Linked DNA regions of Drosophila melanogaster. The protein of the gene in region 3 interacts with the protein of the main gene of each other region in a pairwise test. Each region holds a gene or a part of one and is shown on either strand. Other genes may lie near its edges. The genes, in order: CG12589, CG6398, CG17778 and CG14071.

Region 1 (4,038 bases), on a different chromosome or scaffold from region 3:
TCCCGTAGTCCGGACTGCAGAGCCCATAGTCACAGGACGAATTCACGTGTGCGTTTGTCTCCGCTCCTTTGCGAGTGTGAGTGTGTGAGTGCGAGTACGAGTGTGTGTGTGTGTGTGTGTGGGTGCAGGACGACGGACATGTTGCTGAGGCGCGGCCAATGCTTGTTACGCTTTTGAGCCCCCGCCTGCGGTTGACAGAGCACGTTGAACCACCCACTCCGCTTGGTTCGAGCCGTGCACTTAGCCATCCGCCACCCACCACCAGCCACCCTCCGCCCATCGAGCCATCGTGAAAGCATCCAAACAGGCAGCTTTTCTGCGGCCTGATTCACATTAAAACGCAATTAAAGTTGCAGGCGTTAATTGTGCCGCCTGTGTTGCCTTTTTTTTAACCTTTTCAGCTTTTTGCCGTTCGCTGGTTGTCTTTTTGAGTTAGCTGCCGAAAATTAATTACTTTTGCCCTGTCAAAGTTTCCAAAGTCATTGGAAAGGGGGGAAGCGCAGATATTACGCGAGAAATATAAAATACTCGGCAACTATGAGTAGGTGTGTTCTGGAAATCTATTTACCTAATAAATTGTTGATCTTTGAGAGAGATTCATTTCAGAATTATGAATTATTTGTCCTGTATTCGTAAGCTAAAAACATGAATCCGATTATAAAGCCTTTTTTCTTATAAATCTTAAAACAATTCTACAGAACTTAAATATTCAGTGCCTTCATTCCGTGAAACGACACACATAAAAACATGGCTTTCCTAAATTTAAAATAGATTTTAATGGAAGTTCCACTGTTTGTTTGTAAATGGGAATGCTCGCATGTGAATGTCTCTTAATGAATCAAGTCCATGAATAAAGCCGCAAGTGGGGCTTTTTTCGACTTTTGCTGTGGCATAGCACTATGCGGTGGGCCGGAAGTAAGTGGGCGTGGCAGAAGTCGTTTGGTGCTAATGGGGAGCCGGACACACACAGATATGCACAGATATACAATGATATACAATCGTTCGCTGAGTTTTTCTCGTGCCGTTTCTTTAGCCAGATGTGTAGTAAAATCCTTTGGCTGGCAACTTTATCCTTCGGCGCGGATTCCCAGAAGCAGCTGTTGTTCTTCTTCCCCTTCACTGACGTTGCATTCTGAAAGCGCTGTTTATATCACAGCTTTTCTTATTCCTTTTCATTGTGCCGCCCGTTTTTCGCTTTTGCAACCGTCGGGTGGCTGGCTTAAGCGCCAGTTGCCGGCGACGTGCCGCTGAAATAATTAAGTTGCCAATCCCGGCAGGCTGAATATCAACAGACATCCAGAAAAAGCCAAGATAGAGATGCAACTGGCAATGGAAAGGGTTGCAGGCTTAAACTTAGGTTCATAGATTTTCAATTAGCCTGTCAGGATGAAAGCAGCAGGCGTGGATTTTGTTGTGCTCGATTTTTTTTTTATTTTTTTTTTCTCTTTTTATTTACAATCTGTCTTAAAAAAGTATGACAATAAGTAAATTTTATAATTAATCTTAATTTAACAGAGGCAGTAGTTATCCATTATCGATTTTTAAAATTTATTTAAAACGTTGTTTGGCAAATTGTTTAAAGTCAAAGGTGAGAGATGAGCCACTCCGTATTTGCAATCATCATCAGTGCTATTCCGCAAAGCTCGGACGGCCTTAAAATTGGGCTTTATCCTCGCCTTGGCAACATGTCGCATGCGTATTATCCAGAAATAGCCTCAAGTGCCTGCACCACAAATAGAAAACAAACAGCCAGCCTGCCCACACGCACACTCCCCAGCAAATAGACAGCTTGTCAAACTTTTCGGTTAGAAGGAAATGCGAAACATTCCTCGAATATTACGCATACGCACGGCTGGCGGCCACAACACCGCAACTAAGGCGTTTTCTGTGCATAAGATGTCGCCGGGCAAAGGAAAAGTGAAAACTGCTGCAATTTCCACCACCATTCCGCCCAGTTCACATTCTTTTGACAAGAGCCGTTGGCCTTGTCTCTCGACGAGATGCTTGATCATTAGCATCACAGTCGTAGTGGAGTCGCAGCAAATTGCTATGCTATGCAGTGCGCACTTGGCGAAATGCATTCATGATTTTAGACCATTTTTCCAAAGTGCTCAAATACCGTCAAATATCTTAGGATATCATTTAGATTTCTTTCGAACTTTACTTTAATTTCCGGTCATCCGCCAAATTTTCGGTCATCCGTAAAGTGAATGCCTGACATCCGAATATTTTTTTCCGTGTGGAACGTGCTGCCAATTTACGATTCAGACGGCGCTGCGCCGCCCGAAAAGGAACCCCAAACGATGCAACTGGGTCGGCCGGGTGCAATGCAACTCGTACTCGCACAAAGGAAACAAAGGCACTAAGTTGCGGCGACATGTAGCGCTTTAAGCTGTGGAGAGCGAGCGAGGCCAATGAATACCAAATGAATCGATAGTGCGAAATCGAACTCCGGGGGCAGCGTCAGCAGGGCTGGCATTTTTCTGCTCGGTCGAGCCAGGGTGCGGAAAAGCAATTTCGGTCTGAGCCACCTCAAGTAGCTGCCGCTTTCCCGCCTTTCCAGCCTTTCGTGCTTTCCACTAGGCCAAACGATTTGAAAATTTTACGAACGCACCACTGCGCATTGCTCACAACCAATCGAGGGCATTAGCTGGGCAAAAAATACAAGACATCTTAACCAAACACGGAGCAAATGTTCAATTTCCAAGTCAATCAACTAGAAAAAGTTGCACTCACTCGCTGCGGAAATCTTTTGCGTATAGGTTTCCGGCATGGAATGCTGGATTCTGGGCCCAAAGTTCTTGCAACTCGGAATTAAGCGATTAGATGGAAGTTTGCCACCCAGTTGGCACGCTTAAATTATTCCAAGTTTCCGCTTCTGTCGCCAGCAGATACGCACACTGAAAAAAACTGGGACTCCCACAACTATATAGAATAGGACATAGTATGTATTTGCTTGGCTCTACTTCCAACATGTGTTTAAAATTTTTCAAAAATATTTTGTTCAATTGACATATGTATGTATATTCATTACCAATATAACAATTTACCATTGCTGTGTAGCACACATCAGTTGCACAATGGACGCGCATTCCACAGCCGTCGCAGGCATAGATATGGAACTGGACTTCGGCGAGGACATGGATGAGCACGGAGAATTGGAGAAAGTGGGTCAGCCTGAGAATTTGGTAGCGATGGTGCTGCGCCTGCAGGCGAACCACGTGTGGATCCGGGAGCAGCTGACTCACCTACAGCGCCGCCTGGTGACCCTTCGGCTGGACAAGCAAAGAAGCTTATACGAGGGAAAGGAGCGGTTACAGCGACTCCTGCTGAGCTTGCAGGTGAAACACGGACGCCACTGGGCACTGTAGGGGAATCGATGGACGATGGAGCTCGGAATTCAGGTGACGAAAGTGTAAAAGTACAAGCGAACTATCTTGGTGAAAGATGATGTAATGATGTTCTCAACTTCGTATTAAATATAGTGGTTTTAGAAAGCTTAATCATAAAAGCCTCATTAATGTTAAATTAAGAACGAAAATTACTGAGAAATAGTTTCATAAAGTTTGCAAAGTAAACGATGGTTATGTCCAGTCTTTCTTTTGTATAAATATTATACCGTATATATTATATTGATTTCAGACATAAGTTTAATACGCAGTGAAAAAGACTTTGCCGACCATATATATTTTACTATAAAGTACATATTCTTGATCAGTAATAATATCCTAGTCGATAGAGTCATGTTCATATGGCATGAATCTTTCCCACAACTTCTATTTTTGCTGCTGGTGGTAAATAAGGCTAAGTTGGACCATAATATCACAAGCAGCCACAGGAATAATCGAAAAGTGAAATCATATAGTTTTGATTCGTTACACACTAGTATTTTAACAAATATTTAATTACTGCAAAGGCTTGGCTTATTAAGAGTATTAAGAAGTTTTACACGGCACTTCCACGAGTCCTTTCAATTATCCAACCTGATGACAGCCTGATGACAGTCCCAGCCGAACAGGAAGGCCAGATTTGTGGCCC
Region 2 (5,031 bases), about 17 Mb from region 3:
AAAAAGAAAACGAATTATATGAGCAGTGTGAGAGAGAGAGGGAGAGGGGTAATGGGGCGCAGAAAGAGACAGACTGACTGACAGTCAGACACTCGAGGGGCCAAAAACTTTTGGCCAGCAATTGAGAACTGAACTCAACTGGCCAACATGCCAATGCGATCCGATTACAAACATTGCTTTATAAGTGCACGGCTATTCTTGTTGTTATTTAGGTAATTCTGGTATTTCCACACTCACACATACGACACTTACAATGCCCGTCAATATGGTAGTTTCCAATTTTGTTACATTTTGCCAGAGAATAACTAATTAACATGGTACATTTAAAGCGTACGTCTTTAAAATTTGGGAATTTCATGGTCTAGAACTAATATAATCAATGTGTATCACGTTAAAGATGAAAAATAGGACAAAATAATAGCAAAGCGTATCCAATTTATACATTTAAAAATGAATCAAACAGCACCTCTTTAGGGTATTAAATTCTTTCAGTTTTTAGGCGATTTTCTATATGCATATTTCTTAATTTCTTAAACGCTGCTATCTCTCTGCCCGCCACTGTGCTTTTGCTGCTGCAGTCGAGAGCGCGCCCAAAAATGCAATTGAGAAAAACCCACGCCATAAACAGAAACCCAAAATAGACAAAGGCATTAAAGCCGATGAAAATCAACAACAACAACAGCAAGTAGACGCAGCGAGATGCCAATGCCGCACAAACACAAACACCTATCTCTATATGGATATGTCCGTACACGAGATGTCTGTGTGTATATATTTTTTACCTGCGCAGTCGCAGCATCTTTGGGTCAATTGCACACTGCGAGAAATCGGCTGCGCCCTGATTAGCAGCGGGCGGTGGAAAAGGCCGAACTAATCGCACTCATGTGGGCGGAATTTCAGATTAGGCATTTGAATATACAAAAAATTCTCGCCCCAGAAGTTAATGACTCTCTATCAGCTGGACGCATTGTTCTTACAAGTCGATTTTCAAATGAACCATTTTAGATATAGGCAAATTCATGCATGTTTATTCAGGCTCAAAAACAAAACCGTTTAAATGGGTGTGCAGGCAATGATATTGACGTGTCAAATAATGATATTCACATTCCGCAGAAACTCCAATTATGATCCTTCAGTGTAATGGGTATTTGTTTTTAGGAGCCTGATTCCAATATCTTGCTAATAAAATATGTGGCTCAGTTTTGACAGAGTTACGATCTGGCGTGGCATAACTGCGATACGGTCGAGATATGGGAGCACCAGCACACCCCTTCGAACGCCCCCTTCGAGTTCCAGCCCACCGCCTACGCCCATGTGGCTGTGTGCCTCGCGTCCTACCTTCCTGCCCAGTGGGACTGGGACTCCATTGCACAGGCAGCACCGCATACCAAATACCAAACAAACATACGAAAAGATCAACAGGCTGCTGCTTTGTTGTTGTTTGCCTTTCGTATACCCTAACAAAAGGTTACTAGCTCTTATATATCTAACGTTATTTCTGCAAATCTCAACTGGGCATATGTGTTTACGGGATATCATGATTTGCCTTGTCTATCATCGCGTTTTGTTATCTGGATTATCCAGTGTTGGGTTTTGTAGATGCGTTAACATAAAGTCACAATTAACACAAATCTTACGTTATCGAATATGAAAATCTGAAACTTCGTACATAAATGTATAATGAGCTTATGAAAGATCATATCAAGTTCGCCTCAAATTGGCAGAGATATAAGCATTCTGTGAGGGTATTCCATGGTTCGTTTGCCGAAACAGTCTCTCCTTTCTTGTTTTTGCTTTATCCAGCAGGTAGAAGAGGCACCGTCTCCTTGCCTCCTGCTCCTAACTCTCCTCCCCCCTCAGTCCGGTTGCATTGCAAAGCGCTCAAATGAAACGCCGACTGAGACGCCGACTGCGACTTGAGACTATGGGTATGGGTATGGGTATGGTATATGGGTATTTGGTATTACCTGAAGTCTGGCTCAGTCGCCGACGATTTTCAGTCCGCTGGCGAACGTTGTTGCGATCACAACGTCTTGGCTATCAGTTCTCCGTCTCTTTGCTGCCCAGATTCAGATTCTCAGTTCTCCGTTCTCAATTCTCCAGCTCAGATTCTTCGCCGGCGTGCGTGTGTGTGTGTGTAGTGTTGTGAGCGTGTGCAGTGGAGCCCGTGTCAGTGTGTTAGTGCTGGCCCGTTGCTAAAATTATTATTTTTTTTAACGAACGTTGGCTTTTTTTTTGCTGTGCCTTCCAAACTGGTTGCTGCTCTTTTAACTGTGTATTTGTGCAGCAGCAGTAGCAGTTCAAGAAGAAGCGGCAGAATCTAGCTGCGGAAGAAGAAGACGTCGAAGACGCTAGAGATCACGAAACGAAAGAAAAATAATAGCAACTGTAGTTGTTGTTTTCTTCTCGGGGATTTTCGTTGGATAAATCCCGTATCATAGCCCCAAAATAGCTGAGATTTCGAAACAGATCCGGAATAAAACACCAGCATGCCCTGCTCGGCCGTAACCCTATCTATAGCGACGATCTGCGCGATCATCGCCACCGCCCTGCTGGCGATCGCCTTCTCCACGGATAATTGGCTGCACTACGATGTCTGGCGCAACCAGATACAGGTGAGTCTTCAATCTGCAGTCTACAGTGTCTTTAGTCTTCAGTGCCAGAGAAGGTGGGGGCTACGAATCGAATTAACCCAAGGCCCATCCGCTTGGAATACATAATCAGCTAAGGCCAGAGCCAGCGCCACCGAAATATACGGTGCATCTGCGACTGCGTGGCAGAAGCCACAGCCAGAGACAGAGTTACAACCAAAGCCGAAGACTCTCCCGCTTAAGACGGAGCTTTAGCTCCGCTTACGAGCTCTGCACATTGGTCCCAGAGATGTGGCTAAAGTAGATCCAGGCTGGGATTAGGCAATAGCTTAAGAAATCGGAAAAGATCGGGTTCAAAGTCGTGCAAGACAACGATATAATGGTACGATACAATGGAAATATTTAAAATGGGTAGGGAAATTGAAAATATCCTAATTTAGGCCCTACTTATACAATAGATATTAGTTGTTGAAAATAACTTGCTAGAGTTTAGGACTTCGTCTTCTGGAAAGTATAGCAGAGTACTATATTATATTATTAAATATATTTTGAAAATAAGTGGCTTCATTTCACAAATGCCATTGGAAGCATAGTAAATAAATACGATAAGGATTAAAGTTTTCATACTTAATTAATATTAAAACCGGAACGAATATCTCCATAATTTCCAAGGAATTAAGCCCGTTCGACTATGTCCAGAGAATAATGTGTATTATATTTTACTAATAATAGTAGGAGACATTTAGTTCTACAAACATCTTTGCATATCTTTTAAAATCCGTCCTCTTCCGAGAATCTTATCTATAGCGATGCTTAGATAAACAAGATATGTAATTAAGATGCACTTGCTGACATTTGTGCACTGCATACAGGTGTGCGCGGCCCACTGTGCGGAGTAGGAGGGCGAGAAAAAAGAAGCAGGAGGAGGAGTAGGTGAAAAGGGAGGAGAGGAGCGGAGAGGCAACCACGAAGGCAACAGCAACAAACGGAGGTAACAGTAACAGTCGCTCGTTTTGTGCTTGGCCGAAAGAAAAAGAAAAAGGGCAAGGCGGAGAAGAAGAAAGGTCGAAAGCAAATACACGAACAACTGGCATTGGAAGGAGGTGGGTAGGGAAGAAGGGAGGGAGTGGTGCGGTGTTGATCGAGAGGGGCCTGTGGAGGATGGGCAACGGCCGTTAACGTTCAAACTTTCTACGCGAGCGCTTAGCCAAGCGAAAAAACGAAGAAGAGCCCAGGCAGAAGAGGCCGCAGAAAAAGAAGAAAGGGGCGGTGAAGTGGAAGGAGTACACAATTTTACAGTTTGCATTGCAAATACAGTCAAACTGCGGATTACAACACTTCCCATTCTTCCAAGTAATCTAATTTTCAATTTTATGTTGGTTACTTCACTATTTATGAAATACAACTAGCTAACTGAAATCTCAGTTATAATCCGCCTCTTAAAGGGCCGAAAGCAATCGCAGCATATGTGTGTTTTAATTTCTTTCAAATAAGCAGCAGTTTGTCTTAATGAAGTGGCACTGTAGAAAATCCAACTCCGTCTTGTAGGTGCAGCCGAGAGAATTTTAGATGCGGAGAGCTCTATAGAAATAGGTGTAAAATCGCGGCGGTGTGCGTGCGCATACCAATCATACCAAAACAAGTTAGCTAAACAAAAAAAAAAACAATAAAAAACAAAGCTGAAGAAGAGGAAGAAAAGCACTCAAAGTGTGCTGAAAATATTTGCACGTTTTTCGACTTTGTCGCCTAATCCGAAAGTTTCAATGGAATCGAGGGAACGATAATTGCGGTGAGATTCGTTCGAATCTCGCCCAGCGTCGAAGTCTTCAGAGCCTGGGCACTTATAAAGCCATTAGAAGCAATCGTCTGCCTTGACCTCCCCCATTTTGGGTCATCGCTCCCTTCTCCCCATCCACGTTTCTTGTTCCTCCTCCTCCTCCACCTCCATCTCCTCCATCTCCATATCTCCGTTCTCCTTCGATTTCCGCCCCTGTAAGAGCCTTTGAAGAACCGCTCAGGTGCAGCAGGTAACTCGAGATGGGCTACTTGGCCACAGGAAACCCTAGGGTCCTATGAAGTGCATCCCCAGGGGAGTGGAGAACTAAATACCCACAGCGATTATGAGCGCTACTCAAAGAATGGGAATCCGGGGGAGTCAGTCGAGGGAATCATGATGATGGTGTCAGAATATCATCACTTCCAACCTTTCTTTAGCTAATTACAGATGTTTTCTTCGAAAGAAGTCAAATGGAAACTATTATGGTGGAAAAGGAAGCTCTGTGTTGTTACTTTCCTTTAAATACCCCTATATCTTATATTATCTTTAATTGTATGTCTTGTTGGTATATGTACATTAGATTGCATACTGTTTAGAGTTTAATTCTTCCTTTTCTTAGCCTGCAGGCTGCCCTTTTCCTTGAATTTTCCAGATCTTCGCCCT
Region 3 (4,230 bases):
AGCGCTCGCAGTTTCTGTACACGTAGGCAGGCAGCAATGCGATGATTAAGACACAAAACGCAGGCGCGCCACTTTCAACAGAAAGTGGATGCTGAATGAATGAACTATTTTCCCCAGAACCACTTTCTTGAACTTTCTTAGTGCCAATTTTTAAACTTGTGCCACAAATGTGGGCACGCCACGCACACAAACGTAAAAAAACACCGACACACCGATGCAAAGATCTACGCACACCCAGATGCGCGCACAATAGAGCTGCAGTTATTGCACTTTCTTTTCGTACACTTTTTTCGCAATGATCTTCTCGCCAGCCTAGGATGAATCAGCGTATATTCGCTTCTTAAACAACTGCCATGATACATACATTTTATTCGCAACACGGAGAATATAAATAAAATCGCAAATGAAGTCACGAAAGTACGCGAACGCAGCAGCGACCACTGTTGCCACTCGGCTGCGATCAGATGACATTGCCAGATGCGACTTAGAGGAGTTGCCAGAAGGTTGTTGTTGACAACCGGATGGCGCCAGATTTAAATATATGCGTTCCTCGTCTCCCGAGGTTTAACTAACTTTTATTTTCTCTAGAGCTCAACAAATAAATCTCCAAAAATGAAACTAACACAAGAATAACCATTGTGTGTGGCCTAAATATGTACGGTCTGTTATATATTATCTTTTAAAACGTGTCGTATCAAAAACTACCTCAAAATACTATTATGTTAAGGCAAAATTTGGAAAAGTGCATTCAGACATTCCGGTTCGTCCTAAAGAACGCATATCATCGTAAATGTTGTTTACTCTGTGTTAAGCATTGTGTTTTTGTGTTCTTAGAGCAGTGAGTTTTCGTTATTCCTGCCTATCACTGGAATAAAACACCAAAAAAAAACCTTAATTCGCATACAATGGGTGTGGTTTTCTTAATGTGTATACATGTATATAAAGTATAGGATTTTTTTCCGAGTCTAAATGCTTGGAGTGGGCTTGCGATATATAGTTACACAGTTGATTGCTTCAGATTGGTGCCAATTTAGTCCCTACATTTGCGTCCCCATTGACACATTTACCGCACCTATTCGCCAGGGAGGCCAATCAATAGGGTCATTGATTATTCATGAATACCAACCCCTGCTCCATCGAGCCCTTTCTCGGGCTTTTTGCGACCCTTCTGGGAGCTAGCTATCCGCTGTTTTAGAGTGTGAAAAGTCTGCTGCATGCTGCGCATTTGGTACCGTATGGAGCTGCTGACGTCACGCTGCAACTGCTGCACCTCGCGAATGTCCTTGCGCAGATTCTGGTACTCGTTGGTCACCTCGCTCATCGACTCGAGCAACTCGAGGACCTCCATCTCGTCCATCTGCTCCATCGTCGTCTGTTCGAGGCTGCGCTCCACCGCGTGCAGTTTGTGGGCCATCGTGTACAGCTGCGATCCTGCATTGGCCACCTTGAAGCAGAGGGAAATGTAGGTTACCTATGGATTAAGTAATTGAATTTTGGCCGCTTCCGTTCTCTCTTCAGCTTAGGGAAGCATTGAAAAGATATTCCCAGGAGAACTTATGATCAAATCCTGATAACAACATCTTAAATTAAGTTCGATAAACTTGGATTAACAGTCTACATTTAGGTACTTTGGACAAAGATCTTAAATACTCATATTTCGGCACCAACTGACAATGTGGCTTATGATTGTAATAGACCGCCATGGAGTGTCCCTAATTTCTCTCACTACACTCTGAGTGCCTATACTTCTGAATGAATAAGTGGCTATTTCTGTTTGCCTGGTCGATAAGCTCACCGATTTTTCCAGAGCGCTGATGTCCTGGTAGCCCGGCGTGGCCTCCATCTTTTCCAGATCCCAAGCTGCCTCTCGACCTCAGCCTCTTGGCATGACAGTAAGTAGTAAGTCAGCGCAGCAAGTCCATACTGCGGCAAATAACAAAATTGTTTTTGCCTAACTTAAGGCGCGTCGTCCGGAGCGCTGACAGTCCAGTCCAAGCTCTCCGAGCAGAGTGAGCGAGTCCTGCGATTGGTCCCACTATTTATATGCTCCTGCACACAAGTTGACTTCCGCATTCCGCAGCAAGAGAGGGAGCGAGAGAAAGAGCGAGTGGCAGTGCTGGTACTTCTTTAGCTTGCTTAAAAACAACGTATAAAAATATGCTATATTTAATCGAATTCTTTTTAGTATATGCTTACACTTTTCGAAGCCAATGGATTTTTTGTAAACGTTATGGATTTCAAATGACAGAACTTTTTTTTTGTAATTCCTTGATTCAACTACCGGTGGGCATCACTGAAGAGCAGAAAGGAGCTACTATTGTCCCATTGAGAGACAAAGCAAACCACTTTCTTTAAAAAAGAGAAAGCCTTTCATTTGTGTTGCATCTATTTCCATGGATTTTGTTTTCCCGGTGCAGGCTAGTCCTTTTGATTATGTTGACCAGGAAGCGGGGCTGCTAGCAAAAGCTTACCCTGCCCGATGATGAAAGCGAACTTGCTATTTTAATAGACCAAAAGCCTAAAAGCAGGCAGACAAATTTTCATTCAGAAAGTGAAAAATGCGCCAGCCTGCTTCTGTCCACACTGCGTTCCAGGAAACATTTTTAGGATTTATCTGTTCAGCTAGGAAGCACTTATCACCTAATTGATTATTTTTTCCATCCTCGGTTAAGCACTAGTATTAATATTTGATTACATTTCGTTTAAGTTCATATGTACATGTGTCCATACGTACATATGTACATATGTACATACGTTGATGGAAAAACACAAATATACTACATTGGATCCGCCGGTGTTTATAAATACCCTAAGCCAGTTCAGCATGTCTAGCATCGAAGATCCAATACACTTCCACTGTTGTACACTTAAAAAGTTGTTACAATCTAACTGGAACACATAAACTGGCTTGATTACCATAAAATTGATTAACCATAGAGTATGCATTTGGGTACTACAATACTACACTGCCGTCACCATAGCTAACATTCCCTTCCAGCAGGGAATTGACAAGAACGCAAACACCGCAAAGCAAGCACTACACTCACACACACATACTCACAACGAGCCCCCAAAAAACAGCAACAGCAACAATTGCGAAAACAGAGCAACACAAAAACAACAGCTGTGCCCCCGGTTCCTAACGGTGTGTGCGGTAGCAAGTTACATACATATGTGCGTGTACACGTGTGTGTGAGCATCAAACTATAACCACTTGCTAATGTAAAGCACTTTTTGACGTGGTCTTCGCCTTCGCCTTCGTATATCAACAATCGCCACACCATGCCAATACCACACCACACCACCATACATTACCTCAAACCTATACAGATATATGTACATATATATTTCCATTCATGTATATGTGTAGAGAACAGTGGAGAATAACTGGCATCAGAAATGGGCGGCTGCGCTGCGTTCAGTTTCAGTGTAGCCACCGTTCGGAGAGCACGCGATCCGATCCCCGCACCAAATTCTCATCTCCGTATCCCCAAGATGTCCCTAGTGCGATTGATCGGAGCAGAGGTGAGTTTCCAATTGGTGGGTGGGTGTATGTCCTATAGGCATGCTAGGCTGCCATCCTCACCCTGACATACATACATACGTGCATCCATCCATCAGCATTTGGATCGTTTTGGCGCTCTCTCTCGTTCTCTCTGACACTGGTGTGGCCGTGAATTCGGTAATTGGCGATGCGATTGGCCTTGGGCATGTAATGTATGCACTTTCGGCGCCCATCTCACACTCCACCCACTCTAGTGATTGGAATGGCCCACGGGTGTGAGCGGCGAACGGGCAGTTGAAAACAACACATGTTACGCAATACGTCGCTGCGAAGCGGAAGAAGTAGAACTAGAACCAGAATATTAAGCAGATAAAGCGCACAAGGCGAATTCGCGGGGAATTTAGCGGTACAATGTTTGAGTTGACGTTAAATCCAATAAAACGCGATAAGCGGTACCTTTCCACGACAGGCGCGCCATGAAAATCTCGAATTTGCCAGATGGACACTGATAAGCGTGGGCGGCTGCCCCCCGCGCGCCTACCACTCAAGTTATCAACACCCAAAAAAATAGACCTCACCCCACATTAAACGGATTTGTCCGGCCGTTGAGGTTAGGATTGCGAGCACTGGGCAATTTGCAAAGCAAATGAAAGGTGGACTAAATGGTAAATTTTTGGTTTAGTATACGTGGAAGTGGGAAAATAAAGTACGCTTAGCGATCGGAG
Region 4 (3,539 bases), on a different chromosome or scaffold from region 3:
AGGGCAAACTAGGTGCACGCATTCTAGCCCCCCCCCCCCCCATTTCCTTCATTTCCCAAGGACGAATATCCAAGCCTATCCTTCCGTTCGCAATTTTCAACTGACCACCTTGTGGCGCAAGCAAGAAGTGGAAGTTACTCAAGCTAAATTTTCCCGCAAGTGATTTGCATAACTGTAGGCAGATGCCAATGGCTGTTGCTCATCACATTGTTTGGCATTTTAAGGGGCGAGTTATAGAGAAATGTTCGGAGAAAACCCCATGAAATCCTTCAGTAAGCCGGCTTACTGACTGACTGAAGATAACCTAAAAGTGTGCAAAGCCTATTAAGCTGGCAAAGCCAAGAGCAAACGAATAAATGAAAAAATCCAAGTGGATAGAATTGTTTGTGAACTACTCGTAAAAATGTAACTTCCATAACTGAGTTGGAAATTGCTTAATTTGACGGGGCTGGTCCGAAAATCGAGTCTACCGAATATCATATACCGTGCAGGAGTTTAAAACGGAAAAGTCGAAGATGATCAGATATCAGATAGTAAAAATGGTAGCCATTTTTTAAATCATTGTGATATTGTTAACAATACTTTTAAGCAAAAAAACAAAGATATATTTATTAATATATATTTAATATGTATTTTCATTATTATAATTGGTACCAGTTTCGAATGCAAATTTGCATATTAATTATTAGTGTAGATGTAATTATAATTCATTGGTCTTGAATAAATACATGTGTAATATTTGTTTGCTAAATAAATGAAACAACATACCCCTCATACTACCTCACAATCAGAGCACAAAACTACGCACCATAAATCTTACGGCCAGTGGAAAGGGACTGGGAATTTGGGCAGGGCAAAAATTATTACATGCCTCATTTGGCAGCGCCTTGAAGAGTCTGCTTATTATATTTTGATTATTTTCGGCACGCGTGTTTCGCAGGACCTCAAAGCCAGGATCTCCGCGTCGAGAGCTGTAAACAAATTCGTGAAATACGCAGACTGGTCAAGGGGCGGATGTCGATTTGCAAGGACGAGGAGGATAAACAGGACAGCTGGGTTTTTTTTTTTTTTGTTTTTTGTTTCGGTTGCATAATTTTTCATTTTATTTTTGGACTCGTTTGGCCTGCTTTTGTCCATAATGAGATATCTCTATCCTCCTTTGTTTCTTTTCATCATTTTGTCCATTGTGTTTCGGTGCTTGTTGTTTTTGCATTTCGCGAAATGCCGCTGGGAAATTCTTGTAACCAACAAAAAAAAAGGAGCAAAAATCCACTGGGCTCAAATGGCAATGATGGCGTCGAGGTGGTCTTATTAATTAGGACACGCGCCCTGAGTTGTATATATTCCCAAATATTCTCCACTTCAAATATACACGTGAACCTCAAAAGGGACCGCTGTTATTGTTATTTAAATGCATGGCAAGATTCTCTTTCAGAAAGCTTCCCTTGATTGCCAAATTTTGATTAGCATATAAATGCAGAAGGGACAAAAAGAAACTATATCTTTGTGCCGTTAACTCGTGGAAAATTTTAAACTTCAACACATTCTTGTCCACTAAAAAGAGATAGTACGAAAAATAACTATTTGAATGATAGTTTACAATGCTTCTGCTATCATCTACTCGTAATGCATTTCGGCTTAAACAATTTTTGAATGTAATGATCTATTTCCTTTTTTAACTACAGTCTTTTTGTTTTTTCTCGAGTATTCAGTGGACGCCAGCAACACATATTTACCAATCATAAGTAGGTAGCTAGAAACTGTTCGGATTTAAGGAACAAATTTATTGCTAAGTTAAATCAAATACTGCTCCACGTAGAAAACCACAAACTCCTTTCAACGGCGTAACTACACTGTGCAGCAATGTCCAGATCGGCAAAGGGCTTTGGTCGTTTAATCAATCCGGGCGTGGTACTCCATCCGGAACTGCATCAAAAGATGGCCGACTTTGAGGCCATGACCATCGAGCGATCTGATTTGGATCACGAATTGAGCCGATTGCGCAAGCAGCAGGACGATACCGAGGATAATTTGGCAGAGGCGCTGGCCGAGGACGAGTTCCAGTGCAATTTGAGTGGCCAGCCATTCGTTGCTCCCAACGAGGACGAGCTGCAGGAAATTCTGAGGAATCACCTCGGTAGCATTATCAACAAGCTGGCTGCCACGTACGAGCGCCTTATTTACCTGGATGCGGACATCAGGAAGCTGAAGGGAGTCATTGAAAAGGCCATCACAGTGGCTAATGAGGAATCGGCAGCAGCCGCCTCAATGTGAAGATATGTATTTAACCATTACATACGTTGTACTTCTACATATGTGTATCTTGAAAATTTCAGTTCGATTTAATGTGCAAGTAAAGTTTGCAAGTATGTTAAATGATTCGAAATTGCAAGGGCTATGTAAACATGTATTTGTATTCTCCAGCTTTGCCATATGTACCCGTGTGCCGTCGATAATCAGTAAAATATGTGTTACTTTTGGATAATGAAGTCCACGTTCGATGCAACGCGAAATCCATTCACACATTCCGCTGGACATCTTAAATCATTTTGGGTGAAATTAAAGCCGCAACAATCTCATTTCCGGTAATTCTTTATGCACTCGCGCACAGACAATCCAATGCGAGCCAGAAGACACTGCAAATTTAATTGCGTATACGCAATGTTGCCACTGCCGTCGCGGAAACAGCATCCGCTGCGGCAGCAGCTACACTCTGCTGACTCTATCGTTAAGTGCATAAATTCAATAATGCCGAGCGTCTGGCGGTGTCAACGCGCTGCAAATATATAGACTCGCCGGATCGATAAAGCTGAAGCTTGAAAATTTATGGAATTTCCTGTGCATTGAAAATGGTCGCCATTTACTGAATATATTTAAGTAAACTACAGCTCAAAACAAAAATGCATATGTTATATATTGACTTTACATAAAACCCCAAAATGTTTAGAAACATAAGAAATTAATTCTACTTGGATAAAGTTAAACTTAAACAATTCTATACCAAACTGTAACTTTAATTGCCAAGGGGACCACAAAATGGTCTGCGCTTACATGTATAAGGATGCAATTGCATATTTGTTGTTACTTTGCTTTGGTTAAACATTAATAGTCGGAGAATTGAGAAGGAAGTCGAGGTATATTTGAAGAAAGCCAGACTTATGGGCCCTGTCCTGTACTCTAATTAATTAAATTGAAGCGTTCGACGACGAGGTAACAATTTCAATTTTATTCCCGTGCCAGCCAGACTGGTCAAACAAGCCAAATGCAAATTTCCCAACCAGACATGGGTCTTAACAAGAACATTTGCATGAAGTCAATCATCTCGACCATTCTGGCCAGTGAACCGAAAATAAGACACTTTGGGTCTGTACCGCTGTGACTCTGATTGCCTTTCATCCCAGTCAATTGGAAAATTCGCACTAACAAAGCATTTGTGAAGGTTCGAAAAATGTCGGATGTATTTCATATTTTTACTTAATTTTGATTCCTGTTTGTTAAAAGCACATTTTAAAACTCCCTCGTTGCGCTAATCGCTTTCC

What was found.
Region 1: the proteins of CG17778 (region 3) and CG12589 interact in a two-hybrid assay, tested with the Drosophila melanogaster proteins (one large-scale study listed by BioGRID).
Region 2: the proteins of CG17778 (region 3) and CG6398 interact in a two-hybrid assay, tested with the Drosophila melanogaster proteins (one large-scale study listed by BioGRID).
Region 4: the proteins of CG17778 (region 3) and CG14071 interact in a two-hybrid assay, tested with the Drosophila melanogaster proteins (one large-scale study listed by BioGRID).

What each region holds. Positions count from the first base shown.
Region 1 is NT_033777.3:5,136,520-5,140,557, reverse strand, and holds CG12589 (uncharacterized protein), read left to right. Parts: upstream 1-1,568; 5' UTR 1,569-2,944; intron 2,945-2,984; exon of another isoform or gene 2,985-3,063; 5' UTR 3,064-3,080; coding exon 3,081-3,371; 3' UTR 3,372-3,501; downstream 3,502-4,038.
Region 2 is NC_004354.4:17,828,832-17,833,862, forward strand, and holds the start of CG6398 (uncharacterized protein), read left to right. Parts: upstream 1-1,996; 5' UTR 1,997-2,489; coding exon 2,490-2,615; intron 2,616-5,031.
Region 3 is NC_004354.4:492,683-496,912, reverse strand, and holds CG17778 (uncharacterized protein), read right to left. Parts: upstream 2,300-4,230; 5' UTR 2,197-2,299; intron 2,136-2,196; 5' UTR 1,844-2,135; coding exon 1,796-1,843; intron 1,445-1,795; coding exon 1,109-1,444; 3' UTR 544-1,108; downstream 1-543. Other genes in the region: CG17896 (uncharacterized protein), read left to right, coding at 3,496-3,525.
Region 4 is NT_033779.5:10,887,103-10,890,641, reverse strand, and holds CG14071 (uncharacterized protein), read left to right. Parts: upstream 1-1,714; 5' UTR 1,715-1,863; coding exon 1,864-2,274; 3' UTR 2,275-2,366; exon of another isoform or gene 2,367-2,373; intron 2,374-2,424; 3' UTR 2,425-2,997; downstream 2,998-3,539.